Linked DNA regions of Astyanax mexicanus. The protein of the gene in region 1 interacts with the protein of each later gene in a pairwise test. Links are inferred from orthologs where the notes say so. Each region holds a gene or a part of one and is shown on either strand. Other genes may lie near its edges. The genes, in order: mapk8ip3 and ldlrap1b.

Evidence for each region.
Region 2: the proteins of mapk8ip3 (region 1) and ldlrap1b interact in binary tests that used the Homo sapiens proteins (3 or more experiments, as listed by UniProt). The two-hybrid records come from large-scale screens. The link is inferred for Astyanax mexicanus from reciprocal best matches to the Homo sapiens genes MAPK8IP3 and LDLRAP1.

Annotation. Positions count from the first base shown.
Region 1 is NC_064426.1:27,609,734-27,618,395, reverse strand, and holds the start of mapk8ip3 (C-Jun-amino-terminal kinase-interacting protein 3), read left to right. Parts: upstream 1-5,079; 5' UTR 5,080-5,208; exon of another isoform or gene 5,209-5,387; 5' UTR 5,388-5,945; coding exon 5,946-6,251; intron 6,252-8,662. Other genes in the region: jpt2 (jupiter microtubule associated homolog 2), read left to right, coding at 64-296.
Region 2 is NC_064414.1:4,339,197-4,348,541, forward strand, and holds the start of ldlrap1b (low density lipoprotein receptor adapter protein 1b), read left to right. Parts: upstream 1-5,741; 5' UTR 5,742-5,920; coding exon 5,921-6,005; intron 6,006-9,345. UniProt on the Homo sapiens protein: Adapter protein (clathrin-associated sorting protein (CLASP)) required for efficient endocytosis of the LDL receptor (LDLR) in polarized cells such as hepatocytes and lymphocytes, but not in non-polarized cells (fibroblasts).

The DNA.
Region 1 (8,662 bases):
TCTGTAAAAAGTTGTATTTTAAAATTTATAACCGTATCACGCATCCAACCTTTTCTTGTTCAGCCCCTCAGCCGAAAGCAGTTGAAGAAGTGAAGGTGCCTGTTACACCTCAACCAACACCTGTAAAGGAGGACCCTCCGGCTGCACCCACAGCAACCCCCACAGCCACCCCAGATGCTAAGCTTTCACCACATCCATCAGAGAAGGACCACGAGCCACGCCTTGCACCGGTTCCTCGCTCGCACAACAGAGTGCTGAACCCCCCTGGTGGAAAATCCAGCGTGGTCTTCTACTGACCAGTGCCACTTATCTCTCGCTTCCCCACTCACTCCGTTCTCTCTTACTAACACTGCTAACTATGCTTCTTTCTTACTTTGCTCGTACGTTTCTTAGTTTGTCCAGTCTTCTTTTTTGTTGTTTTGTTTCTTTATATTTTCTTACAGTGGCTTCTTTCTCTCATTCCTTAACTCTTGCACTTTCTAACCCATTCCTATACACTCATTCTGCTTTTTTTTTTTGTTTGTTTTTGTATGTTCATATAGGAGGGTTTGAGTGATCGGTTTCTGCCTCAATCCAATGGTTGACTCAGTCAAATGGTTCATTTTGATCCAGTCAGGATCAGCTGAGTGTGTGTGCTGATTGTGAAGATGCTCTCTGACTTTGATAATGTATAGAAATACAATCATACTCTCATGATTTATGATTACGACGTAACTGATTGGCGTCTGTGTATCGTTCAACTGGAACCACTGTCTGTCTGTTTCCACTGTGGGAAACTCACTTGTGTTAATGCAGTGGTACCTGACCCTCTGTCTTGGAGGTCCTACTGGTCTGCCTGGTTTTTAGCACTTTTAAACCCCCGTTACCAACTGCCGTTGTCATACATGCATCCAGAGTGATCTGATTGCAAATGGTTGATTAAATGCATAGGTGTTTAAACCTGGGGTTTTAAATGCATCTCTTTTGAGCACTTTTGATTGGATTTCTTACATACTTTTCATTAAAGGAGACTGGGTGGTTACTGTAAGTCATCTATTAGTGTGGTTTGAGTCCTCAGCACGCAAGTATCGTCATTTTCCATTTCATTGTTATTGTAGCATGCTCAGCTAACCCTTGCGGGGGGTGGACGGATGGCAGTATTACGGTTATTCTTTATGGTTTGTCAGTGACCTGGTTAATGTGGGCACATCACGACCCTTTGGTGTTAATACTACAACAATAATGTGGTCTTCTGTGTCTCTGACAACATCCGTATGTGTTTTGAGTGACCAGATTGCGGTAAAAATGTAATCCTTGAGACATTACATTACTGGCCATTTATAACATTTATGATTGGATCACCCAGGATGCATGTTTATGCCAGGTGTGAATGGGGGTTTTGCACACCTGATTTCATTCAGAAAAAAGGGCTTGTAATAAGTGCACTGCAGTAGGTTCTCAGGACTGGGTCTGGGGCAGTTTGTTCTAACATACCTCTGAAACTTTGGTGAGCGTTCTTTTTCGCTCATCGTGACTTGCAGCCATGCTGGAAGCAGCTCCTATTGATCTTGTGACTTGTTCTCTTTCTGCCTTTCTGTTAAGTGATTGATTGATTGTAATGCCACTGGGTTCTCAGGGAGAATAGGGATTCGAGGACCTGGTGGAGGACCTGATGGGAGACCTGGTGACAATGTTTTTAGATGTAAGACAATGTACTTAAGAACACACACTGTTCAGGGAAATGCAGGCAAAAGCAAAGGTGTCAACATACTGAAACGAATCCACTCCCATGTATAGTAGGTTTTCCATGAATACACTAAACCAAAGCACATAAACAAACAATTATAAAGAGGTCATCAATACAACTGAAGTACTGTCAAGTGTATGGTGACCCTCTACAATGCATATAGTGCTTTATATGAATATACTACAGTGTTCTTACTGACATCTAACTGCCATAGCTTTAAAAAGGTTAAAAACAAAAAACGTTTTTTTTATTTCGCCCCAATGATTGTGATCTGAAGCTGCCATTGGTTCTTTACATTGTTTTATGGTTTCATGGTAAATGGACCATTAGGCAGTTACCATTCTGGAGCTACAAAGATTTTGATGCTGTTAATACAAAACATTCTAATAATAGGAAGCAATAGGCAATACTAAAATATCTGCCCATTGTCTTTTAACTATAAATGTGCTTAAGTCAGTGGCTTGGAAGATGCTGACTGTGGCCTGAGGATCATGACCTTTAATCTCTGGTCATGCTGCTTTGCCATCAGTGTCTAATTTCACATTATTGAAGGAGGCATGTGACCATTATGATGTCGGTAGCACTGCAAGTCATTGGTGAATTCCTAGTGATTAGGTGGGGTAAAAATGCATGATACAAAAGTTTGTGTGCTACAGTTGTCAGATAGAGGTTAGTCTAAATACTGAAGTATTCCTTAACAAATTCAAGTGTAAATCTGTTTGACTATCTTTTATTTTTATTTTTTTGTTTAATTAATGTTGTATTTGTACAGTCATTAAATCTCATGGTTTTCAGGCAGAGGTGTCCATCATAAGTCCTAGAGGTGCTAGTGTCTAGCACTGCATGTAACTTGACCCACCTACTAAACTTAGTAATGAATTGCTGTAAATGAATTAAATCAAATGTGTTTAAGCAAAAACTGTCAAACCCTGTACCCCTAGGACTAAAGATGGGCCCTCCTGATATTAGGACATAAATCCCTGTGAATACCAAATGCACACAAAAAGTAGAAGCTCTGGGAGTCCTGTTTTGTACCGAATGCCAAAGTGTACTAAGTTAGTTTTCGGTTATTGTATGAAAAACATTTCATTTGATTTGTTTTTCTACCTTCACTTTAGCCTGTCATTATAAAGCACAGCAGCATTGGGAAGGCCCAGCTTGTAACACATTGGTGTGAAAAGTGTTTTTTCTCACATACTGCTGTCTGCCCTGCCCAAAGTGCCAGTGTGGTATTGAGGCAATGTCACAAACGTCTGTAATAAACATCTATTTTGATGATTCATACGCTACAGCCTACTGCATTGTTTCTTTCTGCTTAGCTCATATGTGTTTGCGGTTACTCATTCAAGGAGTAAACAGATTAAAAAATAATAATAATGTTTGAGACTTCGCAATCAATTATTAATTTTATTTACCTCTGTTTATAATAGATACGTTTGAATGTGTTTTGCCTAGGTAATTTTCTCATTTGATTTTTACAGAAATGATAACATTGTTCATTCAACCAAATGAGAGGAGACTTAAGCAGGAAATACCACAGATATATATGTAATCGATATACAGTCCTGTAAAAAAAATATATAGAACATTTTGTAAAAACCTTTGTCTATTTTAATTAAAACAATTAATCATGTTTACTTTTAAACATTGAGAAATGGTGGTCATTTGCACCGATCAAGCATATAATTGACAATGCCCTTGTTTTCCCAAATAATTTATGCATTTTTATAATGACAGACTGTTGTCGTTCTGTTGTATTTCATGTTATTACCCTCCTTTCACCATGTTCTTCAAGGGTTTTAAAAATATCCAGACAAGTGCACTGGGCCTAGCATTTTGTAGACGGAAACCATTTAGGGAACGCTATGCTAATTAGTGTTGCACACTGCAAAGCAACATCATGGCAACCACATGACAACAGCCTGGCAGAATAAGGAATAGGATTTAATAAAACTGCAGCAAAAAATTCTTCAAATAACTTTTCAAAATAGTAAGAGCAGAGTTGCCTGGTTTGCAGTTTTTCCACCAAACTGGGCTTGTCACAGGTGAAAATTGTCAGGGGTGGTGGTGTGCGTTTTTTTGGGCTACTTTTAAAAATTATCATGGCCGCCAAAAAAAAAAAAAAGTTGGTGTTGCCTTATATCTTATGTCATTGGAAGAATCAGGAGAACATAAGGGAGGACAGTGTAAAAGAGAGACAGAAATAACCAGGCGATGAAAACCATATTGAAGAGGAAAGAAGAGAGTTCAGGAGGGGCAAGAACAAAAATAATTTAAAAATGTCATTTTTTTTTGTTTTTGCTAATTGTTACTATGAAATGTTCTTGACTGGGATATAAAACGTATAAATGAACTAATAAAACACTCATGTTACAATATTATTAATGAATTCATGATAAATAGCAATACTGATACTAAATCCCTTATAAACAAAATACTAAGTTGTACACTCAGTTGTTTTGCCATTTGCTTCAAACGTGTGACAGATATATATTTTGGGCTAATTTAAGCTTCTGAAGGGCGGGTTTTAGACCTACATTGGGCTGGATACATTTGTCGGACCTGGCAACCCTGATTTAGAAAAACGCATACAAGTTTTTTCCGGATGGGAATAAAATCACAGAGGACCCCCTGATTTTATTCCCCCCTCCCCCATAAAAGAGAAAATTACCCCAGGACCCCCTGAGAAACTCATCCCGTCAGTATAGAGCTTTACGTTGGTACATCAAAATATAATGACTTAGTATATCAAAATAATGACTTAGCCTCTTAATATAACAACACAGTATCTCAAAATAACAAAATAGGATCTCAAAATAATGAAATAGTAAAAAATGACTATTCTAAATTACTGGGATGGGTTTCCATGCTCTCTCTCTCTCTCTCTCTCTCTCTCTCTGTCTGCTATTTTGATCATATTTCTCTCAATATCCCCCTTTTCCTCTCCCGAAGGGATGCCATTCTCTGCCTGCCCTGCTGTGGGAGGAACAATGTGATGATGACGCCACCGCACGAGCTGGCTCGCTGCAGACGCCGTGACGTAACCCCCGAACGGTCAGGTGACTCCTCCCCTCCATGCAGCGGTATTTGTTTTTATTCCGCACTTGTTTTCAGACAAGCCCCGCCCTCTTCTTGTTACTCGGGATTCTCAAACAGGACCTCAGCGAAGATTCTCACGAGCGTTATGCAAATAGAGCACGACCTGCTGACCAATCCTAGCGCTGTTGGTGCTGCTTGCGAGCTTGCACCATTGGCCAATCAATCCCAGCAGATTGAATATATTAACCAATCGTAGCTGTGGAGGGCGGGGCGTGTCTGAATAGAGGTGGGAAATGAAATAAACGCACCCACACTGTAGCCTGGCTGGGCGATCTCTGAGATTCCCTACCCACCCAGCCGAGAGGAGGAGGAGGACAGCAGCAGCAGCCGCCCCCCGCCGCAACATCATCCACCGGGCTGGGGTCTGTAGTTAACCTAGCTAGGTTGGTTATTTAAATGTCAAAAAAGCTGAATTTGCCAGTATGTTGTAGGAGAAATGATTGCGCCACGTCGTGGTGATGGGGGCAGCTACTCCAGCATAATCCAGTGTATGTAAGCTATTTATTACCATATTATTTATTTATTTTCTTTTTTTTATCCTCCATTGATTTTTTTCGCCCAGTAATGGCTGGGCTCCCGGGCTGCGGCGGCTCAGCAGCAGGTGCATCGCGGGCGGTGATGTGATGGATTCCGGCCGAGTGGGAACGGGAGCGCCGGTGACTAGTCCAGCCTCACCCGATACGGACCTAACGGAGGATTAGCTGGGTGTGAAGAAGGGGAAAGATCGGGATTTTAAGGCCGTGCTGTGGCGCAGGGAGTGGGGGGGGAGAAAGGAGAGAGGCTAGCTTAGCTCTCGGCTCCTCTCCCATCATCATCACATTCACATCTACCTAACGTTCAGCCAACTAACTAGCTAACCCAGCTACCGCTTGTCTGAATGAGGCTGCTGGGCACCCCTGGAGACACGTGGGGGCACGTCCAACTGATGACACCCCTTTAAAATATCTCTAGCTAACTACACAGTGAGCTAACCAGCTAGCTCCTGAAACCAAGCCCCCCTGTTTTATTTGGATGACTCAGAGAACCGCTAGTTAGCTCCCACAGCGCCTCCATTACTTTGGCCAGCATTTTCTTTTTGTGATTTTCGGTGGAAATCTCCACCACCGCACCTCCAGGCGAGATGATGGAGCTCCAGCTGGACGAGGTCGTCTACCAGGACGACTACGGCTCAGTGTCCGTCATGTCCGAGCGCGTCTCGGGCCTGGCCAACAGCATCTACCGCGAGTTCGAGCGACTCATCCGGAGCTACGACGAGGAGGTGGTGAAGGAGCTCATGCCGCTGGTGGTCAACGTGCTGGAGAACCTGGACGCCGTGCTCACTGAGAACCAGGAGCACGAGGTGGAGCTCGAGCTGCTCAAGGAGGACAACGAGCAGCTCATCACGCAGTACGAGCGCGAGAAGGCGCTACGCAAGCAGGCCGAGGAGGTGAGTCAATTAACGTCAATTAACGTAAAGCTAGAGTTAGTTGACGTAAACGTGATTGACGTATAGTGCACGGCGTCCAGAGGCTGTTTTATAACAGTTTTATAGAGTTAAATGTTTTAAACTAGGAATCATTTTTAGGGCTATAATGAAGTATTAAGTTATCTCCGACAATATTTCGGTTGTTGTAAACATAACTTCTGTTAATAGTGTTTTAATGCTGCTGTGAAGTGTTATAACACAATATAGCACAAATATTGCCACATAGGGTCACCTTCTCTCAGATTTCCCTCCCTTTTTGACACTGTCAGGCAGCTTAATGCCATTTATAAGTATTACAAAGTCAATGTTCTGAGATTGGCAATCATTTCAGCAATATAATGTAATAATCCTTTATTCTATTATGAAGTCAAATTTATAGAACTAGGAATCGAGGATATAATTAAGTATTAAGTTATTTCAGTTGTAAACACAATTTCTGTTGAAAGTGTTGATTTTACTGCTGTTGTGAAGTGTTATAACACAATATATCACAACTATTGTTATCTCAGATTGTATGCCATTTATAATCTTATATGAAGTGTTATAAAGTCAGTGTTATGACACTGGCAATCATTTCAGCAATATTATGAGGTTTAAACTAGTTATCCCCATCAATGTCACACCGCTAAATGTCTGAGCTGTTATAAAACGTGGTTAACAAATTAGTGCTTAATTTTTTCTTGTTGTTATTAGGTGTTATGACACATTTTTGTAAGCCTTCATTCCCTCACACACATACAGTAAGCTGTATTGCCACATAGGGTCTTTTTGACAGTTTTGACTGTCTTTTTGACAGTGTCAGACAGTTTTTTGCCATCTATAATCTGTTATGAAGTGTTATGAAGGTACATTTATGACTTTATGAATCATTTCAAGGCTAAAAGGAAGTAAACATAAGGTCTGTTGGAAGTGTGGTTGATTTTAGGGCTGTTGAGTGTTACAACACTTTCATATTTACATTGACATCCTAATTGTCATTGGGAATCATTTCAGCAACAATTATGAGTTTTACAGTGCTAAACATCTGACTTGTTATAAAATGTGGTAAACAAATGAGTGATCACTTTTATGGCTGTCATGAAGTGTTATAACACAACTCTCCCACAATTCTAACCTATTATGATGTATAATCAACTTTATGACATTAGGCATTATTTCAGGACTGTTATGAAGTACCATTACCAAAGGTATGACATTGGTAAACACACATTGCCTGTAATGAAGTGTTGTAAATTAACTAGTCACCATAGTAACACTTTTAGAGCTGTTTTAAACACAATTAACAAATATTTTGCTTACCCTTATTCTAACAGACACTGCATTTACAGAATAGGGCTGCATGATATTGGAAAGATATATTTTTAATATTTTATTGTTCTTTAATATATATTGCAATATTTAAAAATGCTGATTTTTTTTATGGAAGGTGTGGACGTCTAACACATTTGACAAATATTGTTACATTCACTTGGCTTTGCCCCCTTTTTGACAGTGTCAAACAGACTTATGAAATTCAAAATCTGTTTTGAAGAGTTATCAAGATATTTCATTTTTTGGATAGTTTTAAAGTATTGTCAATAGATTAGCAACCCTCTCAGAGGTGCTGTGACACATTGTGAACATTGTAGCCGCAGTATCTGCTCATCCTCATGCCCACAAACACACATAGGTCACGTTCACTCTGGCTTTGAGGAAGTTGAGGTCAGAAAGCTGAAGTGCTTTTCGAACTATATTTGAGCTCTTTAAAAATGTCATGAACTTTACTAATTCAAATTTGTACATACTGATAGCTATATAAGGTCACATTCATTCTGTATTACATACATAACTATATCATTCTTGTTGCAAAGTGTCTAGTGTCAACAACATCCTGAGAGTAATAATGAAGAGTCATAAATGCTGTTTGCACAATGTTTTTTGTTTGTCTTTATTTATACATAGTAATGTTTATTCACTCATTCAGGGGGTTAGTAGATTGGAGGCATTCCCAACAAATGACACTTTACAATCCCAATTGTTTTAGGTGGCTTTCTTTTAGGTAGTGGAGCTTAATAAGCAGGTCTGGTTCTGAACTGTGTAAAACAGACAACAACCGTATAAAACAGACAACTATGTACAGTACCAGTCAAAGGTTTGGACACACTTCTTATTCCATGTTTTTATTTATTTTTTTCATTGTAAATGAATACTGAAGTCATCCCGACTATGAGGGAACACATAAGGATTCATGTAGGAAACATAAAAGTGTTAAACAAACCAAAATATTAATTTAGTATTTAGGTGGGCTCTTATCTGGGCGGGTAACTTTGATGTAACTGCACTTGAGAATACTTTCAAAGTTCTTTAATGTTTTTGATTAACTGACCTTCATT
Region 2 (9,345 bases), on another chromosome or scaffold:
AACATTTTATGTGTATCTTAAAAATAAATGTGTTTTATAGTATGTACATATATAGTCATTATTTAAAATAATTTACACTCTAGTTCTAACCTGTAACTCATTGCTGCTGCTGGTAATAAACAGAAGGTTTCATGTCTTCCATGTCTTATGGGCAGTTGGGAATTGTACAGTTTAGACTGGTGTGCACAGCTGTACTGGGTCATAAGTATATATATATATATATATATATATATATATATATATATATATATATATATGTATATATGTATATGTATTCACATTCAGATCTATTTATAACCAGACATCGTACTCCTGTACTGAGATACGCTCCACTCTGAGGGACTCAGATTTACTGAAGAGTCGTACGAGATGACCTCAATCCAGAGACTAGTTTGAGAATGTGAAGAGTATCCCTATTTCTCTGCATTTTACACACACACATACACACAACACACACTTACACACACTCCTGCTTTATCTCTCTGCTTTGCTTTCTTCAGTAAAACACAATTACTACAGAGCACGCTCAGAAAGCTGCTGAGGCCTGGGGCTGAACCCGCCCTCGCGCTGTGGGTTTAGGTGGAGAGGAGTAATAAGAGAAGAGAATCTGCTGAAAGTCCTGATCCTCGGCTCTGTTTATTATGTACAGCAGGCTGTAGAAACACATGAATAAATGGCTGCTGCACTTCTGAGAAATAAGGCTTTACGTCCACCAGCTGGAATAATGCACACAATTAACCTACTAAACCCGGCAGGCAGGACTGTGAAGAGACCTTCTTCAGACAGTCTCATCCTCTAACTCTCACTCTGAGTTGAGTTGAAAGGATTCACAATTGGTGTTGAGGTAAAAGACTATGATAGAGAGATTGTTGGTTCAAATCCTGGTCATGCAGCTTGCCATCAGCTGCCGGAGCCCTGAGAGAGCACAATTGGATCCTTGCTCTATCTGGGTGGGTAAATAGATGGTGCTCTTTCCCTCCGTCACTCTAAGGGTGATGTTGATCAGCACAAGCCTGCGTCTGTGAGCTGATGTATCAGAACAGAGTTGCAGCGCTTACCTCCGAGTATGCTGTGATGCTACTTGGTAATACTAAAGCAGCAGCAGTTCAAAAAGAGGCAGAGTCTGACTTCACATGTGTCGGAGGAGGCGTGTGCTAGTCCTCACCCTCCTTGTGTTGTGGCATCACCAGAGATGGGGGATATACAGCTCAGTTAAAATGGCGTAAGTAAATTGGGAGGAAAAATTGGAGGTGTAAGAAATATTAGTAAGGAAAAGAACTAGTACAGAAATGGTACTGAAATGAAAAGAATGGGGTTTAGGTGGAAGGCTTGACATTATAATGGAAGGATAGATGACCTTAAAAAATGGAAAGGCTAGTATTGATGTTAAAGTGGCTTGACTGGTGTTGGGATGGAAAGAATGTTGATAAGATTGCAAGAACGGCACCAAGAACAAGAGTCTGGTATTGAGATGGAAATATTGGCATTAAAACATAAAGACTGTTGTAAAAGGTTGACTGAGCGTGCTCTCTCTCTTTTTCTCTGATTGAATAAAACCTGGAATCGGTTTATCCGCTCTGAAAGCATCACACCCGCCCAGTTTAAAATGATTCTTCCACATTCTCGGTGCAATTACTCATTCTCACCAGAGAGGGCACTAAATCCCCCAAATCCCAAAACTTACAGACATCAAGATGGAACAGCTAGCTAATGTTGAGCTGGCATTTAAAATATTTAATTGATATTATTTAAACATTTAAGCAAAAATAAGAAAAATCCTGAGTCTGCTCTGATAAAAGCATCTGTTTCTGAGCCAGCTCTATCTCGAACCTCTATCTTTGTTAGGGGTCCAAGCACCAAAACTGCTCGGATCCTCCTATTTCCACTATAGTGCCCTGCAGGCAATGGAAACCAACCTCAGGATCCTGAAGCTGAGCTGAGGAACCGTCTTCAGTGGCCGACTTTTAAAGGCATTATATGGATTAAAACGAGAGCAGCCCGAGACAATTAAATATGAATGACCATGAGCCGAGGGGCAGGACTGGACCTGCTGTGAGAATCGCAGTGGATGAGGCTGGACCACAGACATACTGACAGATGTTTGGGCCTCAAAACCATCTAACCCTGGTGTGAGGCCTACACTGCCAGCACGAGGTCATATAACTGCCTGTGTTCACAGTATCAGAGCAGCTTTGATTAACATATGGAGGTATTAATAATTCAGGAGCGTGTGTGCCTCTCTTTATGCATCCCTTCCAAGAGTCTTGGAATGGTGGATTCTGAGATGTTTAATAATTACTGAAGGATTTATGAGTCTAAAGGCTGCATGGCCTGCTGCGTCTGGAACCTGTGTGCTCATGGTTTGTAGTGGACATGCTGACGGAAATGGAAGGAGCAGAATGGAAACACAGCCTTGCTCTTTGTTAGGCAGTTGGAGCCTCATTAGTATTCATTATGGAGATTCATAACTCTTTATTCTGAGCACTCCTTCCAATTTTACACTTCATGTTTGCTTCCTGGCCATAACCATAAGAATTCCACACAGCCATACCTTGCTTTCAGAGGTCTATTTTAAAATATAGTACTCTTAACATAAAGATATTTAAAGCAATGGTTTGGCAAAAAATATATATATATAACTGAAAGTTTTTTACACCTACCTTTTTCAATCCAGATGAAGCTTTATAAAATTTGGTCAGATCCAAAATAGCAGGTGTTAAAGGTATTGCAAACCACAGCCCAAAGCAAGAAAATTCTGTGTTCCAGCGCGTATGTCTGTGCATTGGAAAGCTGCTTTAACACACAATGCTGAAAAAATTGGAGCTGTGCATTTAAACACAGTGTTTTCAATGGGACATGCAGCACAGAATTACATATAGTAAACAGAGTCACACAACTGCGAGCAGTGAACGCAGCACACATGGTGCGTGTAAACAGTATGGAGCACACTCCTGTAACTAGTAAAATAAATGAATCCCTTAAACAAATTAAACCAGTTTCAGATTATTTCTGACCGAAACCACCTCTTTTGGTAGGACCTAACTTGCTCCTGCGCCAGACAGCTCAGTCCAATCAGAGGAGACAGTGTGGTGCGTTAATGTTTGTGCCTGTGTGAAACCAAACCAAACAGAGGGAAAAAAGCTCCAAGTAAACAAACTTATCAACTGATCCAGACCATAGAAACCAACTACAGGTGTGAAAACACTCTTAAATTTATCTTCTGAGGACTCTCCTCAGTACCGGACTTAGAGCCACTGGATTTGATAGGGATATCCCTGGTCATGACCTTCCTGAGAACTGAGAATTTCTGACTTTTGCTCAAACTGTGACTTTAATGCACACTTTTTATTTTCATCCATTTAAAGCTGAACCTCTTGAGCCTGGTGTAACTCTGGTGTTATGGGATCTATGTTTCTCTCTGTACTGAATGTCAGGCCTCTGTGCACTTCCACCGTCTCAGATTTATCTGCAGATGAGATTACGTGGATCTGTGTACACAGTGTGTATCTGGCTGCTGCTGACCCCAGAGTGTGGGCAGATCCTGCTGGGCTGAGAAATAGAAGACACAGTGCCCGCCACGTGCTGCGCTGATAATCCCCTTGGCATGTTTTGTGGTCTGGTTTTAAGCTCTGCGGTGGAACGGAAGTGTCCGGTGAAAATTTGACGTAATACACAGGAGGATACAGATCTCAGCTGTGAGTTCAAGCTTAAGCACACAATTATCCTGTATGTCTTTGTGGGCACCCTATCAAAAAATACAGCCACAGAGGAAAATCTATCTATCTGTCTGTCTGTCTGTCTGTCTGTCTGTCACTTTGTCTGTCTGTCTCTGTTAAAGCCGTGAGAATGCAACTGTGGAACAATGACAAAAAAAATTGGCTATCCCACCGTCTACAGTGCATAATATCATCAAAAGATTAAATTAATCTGGAGGGAAAATAGACAAGGCCAACACTCTGTATTGAATGCCAGTGATCTTTGGGTCCTCAGCTGGCATTGCATATAAAACAGGACTAGTGATTCAGGATGGGTACTGTCCTGATCCTGTATTATTTATTTAAATATCTGCCAATGCAAGTTAAACCTGTATCATTCAAAGAAGAAGCATTATGTCAACACCATCCAGAAACTGTGCCGTCTTCTCTGGACCAAAACTCATTTAAAACAGACTAAGGCAAAGAGATAAACGTTTTACATTTTTCACATCAATTTAATTGTGTTTTTCGGCTTAAATGAAAATATAGTTTATGACTAGTTTATAACTTTGATAGGTGGTTGTGACAGCGTTACAACAGTATGGATGTTGGTTGTACAGGCATTGCTAGGTAGTTGCTACAGTGGTGCTATGGCATAGCTGTTGGTTGCTAAGGTGTTACTATAGTATGGGTGTTGGATGGTTGGTAGCAAAGCTAGCAACTTATCAGTTTTAAAAAGAGAAAATTAAATAATTTGTTTCTGGTTTAAAGGCCATAAACCACAAACAGATTCACAGTGAGTCAGTTTTGGCTTTAAAGATGTTCTGAGAGGTTTCTCCTCTGGCTTTGTTGTGATGTTGAGAGATAAGATTGTATTAATTGAGAGAAGTATATTCATGATAAAAATGAATTCATAGTAGCATCAAAATGAATTATTGTAAGATCTAATAACACCTACAAGCAATACCATTTTAAATCTATTTCAAACGCTTGAAACCCGGGTTTTTGAGTGTAAGTATTCCATCCCTCCCCTCAACCTGATCTGAAATTTATTCCTGCTTTTTTTCTCTCATTCCACATGAGCAGTTTTCCAGGGAAACACAAAGGGAAACAGAGGACGGGCGTTTCTTGGAGAAAAGGCTTGGCTGCATGTCAATCAGCTCCAGCTTTAGAAGCTCATGCGGGAGCAGATTTTGGATAGGCCAGACAGTGAGTGGCAGGTTCTCCAAGTCACTTCTGATCAACCTACCAAAGACTGTTTAGATAAGCATTTGTCTCCCTTAGAGACAATCAATAAACCTGTGCAGGTTTCTGTGGGGGAGGAACAGCGAGAACACCAGGGCACGCCTCGGTATCTCCTGAGTTGATTCAGGCTTTATCTGAGGGTGAAAGAATCTGGTCCTCCAGCATTCCTGACCAATGAGAAGAGCTGGAGTGTGCATGCCAGTGTCAAAACAGCCAAATGCGTAATCAACCATTGAGCAACAAATGGTAAACTAGCTACACTATACTAAATGTCCAAAAGTATCAATATCCAGTCATTTAAAATGTTACATTTAGATTAATCTGGTCCTAGAACAGTTCTTTCTTTGCTTTAGTCTGTTTTAAATGAGCTTTGGTTCAGAGAAGATGGTGCAGTTTCTGGATGGTGTTGATATAATTAATGTGCATTTGTAGTTCTTTTACATTATTAAAACATTCCCTTGATTATATGATCTGTTAATTTTATTGTAATAAATCATTACTTTAATTTAATAAACTAAAACTGTTCCATTCATTTCAAGTATTTCCTCAATTTAACAATCCCTTTCTTCAGTTTGGACGTTTATTAAACTGTGGGCACGTTTTAAGTCTGTAAATATTAATGTTTTACCTACTGATCATTTGGGTCTTTGTGTTTTATATCAGCTCTAACGTGGGGCGGTAATGTATTCCGCTGAAGCCCCGCCCACACGCCGGCGCCGACACGTCACGACGCGGCGCGATTGGTCTCATTTGCATATTTGGCCCTGCCCACCACCGGCGAGCGCGCTAATCCGTCCAGGCTGGATTCTCTCCGGGCGGAAAGCAGGGGAGGAGGGAGCGGGGCGGCCAGCGGCCAGATACAGTGATAAATAAATAAATAAAAAGTTTTCTCTCGCGCGGACCGTCGAGTTCACCGCTTTGAGAGCGCGGAGGAGGAAGCCGGGGGTCCGCGGGCTCTGTCCCCCTCCTCATACCCAACTATGGACGCTTTAAAATCGGCGGGCAGGGCGATCATCCGGAGCCCCAGCCTGGCCAAGCAGAGCTGGACCTCGGGAAAACACAAAAGTGAGTTATCCCAGCTACATTTAAAACATGTCGCTGTAATGTAACGTTACGTTTTTACAGCGGGCTGTGCTGTTATAACGTGTTTATGTGTTAATGTTGTTGAGATAGTAGCGTTAGTAGCCGTGTTTTACTATGTAAGTTTGCTGTCAGCGGTTTAAAGCTACGTTAGTTACGTTACCGTCATGCAAACTTTACGTCAACTAGCTAATCAGTTAACGTAGCTAGTTAATTAACTTACTAACTGACAGGCGGTTTACACAGGAGTGTAAAGTTGTGTTTAGTAAACATAAACCGCTTTATTTGTACTTATCTGAGCGGAGCGTGTGTTTCAGAGCTAGCTAGGCTAATTTATTACAGTAGGATTAATAGTTACGTAGCTGTGCTGTTTAAGTTATGTCTCTTTAGAAGCTGAAAGGTAGGTTAGACTAAAGATAGCTAATAGCTTAGCTAACTAAGGCTAGTTTTGTTATTTAGAGTTAGCTGCATTAGTGCTCAGTTAGCATTTAAGCTAACTAACCTAGCTAACGGATATAAAACTGAGATTTAAAAAAAAGATACTTTAACGGTTTGAAATGCTGTGTTTGGTTCCTTTGCTGTTATATTTATTTGCTTAAATTAGTGTAAAATAGTGCTAATATGCTGCTAAGGACGATATAATTTTGCATTTCATTGCTTGATGATTTTACTACACTGTAATTACATTTTACAGTTTACTTTTCTTGTGGATAACATGTTAAAGCAGGACTACAGCGAGAAATGAACTTTCATGGTGTAGTGAAACATGATAATAAATATAAACTTTTGTAGAATAGAACACTTACATTCGTCCCCAGCATTCTCAAATACAGAGCTTTTCGTCTATGTTCCCAACAGGCTTAAGACTACAGTGTTAGAAATAGGGGCATAGTGATGCCTACTCAAAGAAATCACAATTTTTACCTCATTAACAAACTTAAAGTAGCTCCACACTTCATTGGAGGAATTCTGAGGGTCCTGACATTTAAAACAAAGCACTAGTTTACTAAAACATTGTTTATACATACAGTACCTTCAGGTAGTTTTCTGGGAGCCAGAATCTTGAAATTAAGTCAATGTAAGTCGACTGCTGAGCACAAACAAAGAGCTAGGGAAGAAAATAGTGTTTTAACTCTAGTGATAGGGTTACTCTATGCCTCTAGTATTTTAAGCCTGTTGGGAGCATCAGCTAAAAGCACTGTATTTCGGCAAGCTGTGAGTAAACAGAAATGAACTATTTTACAAAAGGTTATATTTGTTATCATGTTTCACTACACCCCAAATTTATTTCACACTAGAGTTCTGCTTTAACATGTTATACACAAGATAAGTAAACTGTGTGAAGTGTAGTAAAATCATCACTAATGAAGGTTTTATTCAAAGATGCAAAATTAGCTCATCTTTTGCAGCATATCACCAATATTTGACAATATTTTTAGCAGATAACAGCAACAGCAAGGACCCAAAGACAGCCAGTGTTTTAAAAATATCACCTATGAAAGTATTTGTTAAAATAAACCTCATAATAACATAATAACAGTTTTATAACCTAGGTTAGTTGGATATGTTAGGATAGCTTACATGCTAACTGAGCTCTAATGCAGCTAATGCTTATCCACTGGCTTAGCTAGGTTATAAAACTGTAGGTTTATTTTAACAGATACTTTGTAAAATTTTCACACAATACAAAGAACAACTCAGTTAGAATTTTGTGTAACTGTGATGCGGTCCTTTTTTTGGGTTGAGCCATGTATCGTCATCTCTGGCTCTCCTCTCTCACTTATTATATACATGTACAGTGACCAGTAGCTCATATTAGACTGGTAAATGAATGTTTTAGAGCTTCTCAGTATGTTACATTTTAGCCCTGAGTGTCACAATGTCACTCTCAATACTGCCCAAGCTGATCTTCAAGGGGCTTCATGGAAAGATCATGTTGGAGTGCACATCGGGGGGAGTCTTGAAGGAAGATATGCAGTGAGGACCCAAGCCTGTGCTTGACATTACAGCTCTATGCAAGTCCGTGACCGAAGCACACAGCATTTCTTGGCAACCCAGTGTTGCTAGGCAATGCTTTTTTGGCCTTCGTCGTAGGACAAGATTACATGCCCTCATTCACCTTCATCCAGACATGCTTAGACGTTATTATATATGTGCATATACATGGTATATTTGGCTGCCGTATGAAGAATGGTGTCGGAGACCATCAAACATGCAGTAATGTGTTCAGTACAGCACAGAAGCGGCAGCCGGCTTTTAAAAAACACTGTTCCTGCTACCCCACAGGATTCAGCTGAAGCTTTTGATCTCCAGCTCAGCGTGTGAGCGCTCCAGACAGCGCTGCGTGGCCAGTCAGCTGGTCAGCTTGGTTTAGTCACACTGCAGCCATGTGGTTTTCACAAAGGGAAGCTTAGCTGCTCACTGACCCCTTTTGTTTGACTTGGTTAGGCTCACTGCCACTCTTAGACACGTATTGAACGCTCTGGTTGCCTGTGGCAGCACGCGCCACGTTTGGGTGCCATCAGCTGTTTTGTTTACTCACGCCTGCGTTTGGCTCACGGAGGACAGCAGGCTTTTGACAGGATGGCCGTCTGTTCCAGAGCTCCATTTAGTTGAATAGGTGGAGGAATGTATGGAGAGAGGCCAGTTCCCGAGGCTCGTGCCAGCCTCGCTATAACTGTAGGACTAGATTGTGTAGATTTTGGCTATTGCCTCCAGTGATGTCAACATTTAGCAGTTAAGAAACACTTAGACCTAGACAATAATTTTTGATCAATACATATATTGCAATTCATTTTAAAAATGGTTTGATTTTTGAAACACATTTCTGATATTTAAGTTATTATTTACAGCATGTCACTGATGTCTGTTTATTACAGGCCAAGTAATGTGAACTGGTAACGTTTTTGGGTGCAGATAACCATTGTGTGCGTTCTTGGCAGTTTTTCTGGGGCTTTTATATTCAGACAATATTTCATATAAGATACCAAAATTAAAAAAAATGTGTATTGAGATATTAATTTTGGCCCTATCATCCAGCCCTATGAACAATGGGGTTTTAGGGCTCTGAGTGGTCCAGTGGGGTAAGCGCTGCCACTGTGATCAGGAGATTGCTGATTTGAATCCTATTTATGCAGCTTGCCATCAGCTTTTGAAGCCCCAAAGAAACACAATTGGCCTCACTCTCTCTGGATGGGTAGATGGCACTCTCCTCCCTCATCACTTCTAGGGTGATGTCGATCAGCACGAGGCATCTGTGAGCTGATTTATCAGAACCGAGTCGCTGTGCTTTCATCTGAGCGCGCTGTGATGCAACTTGGCCACT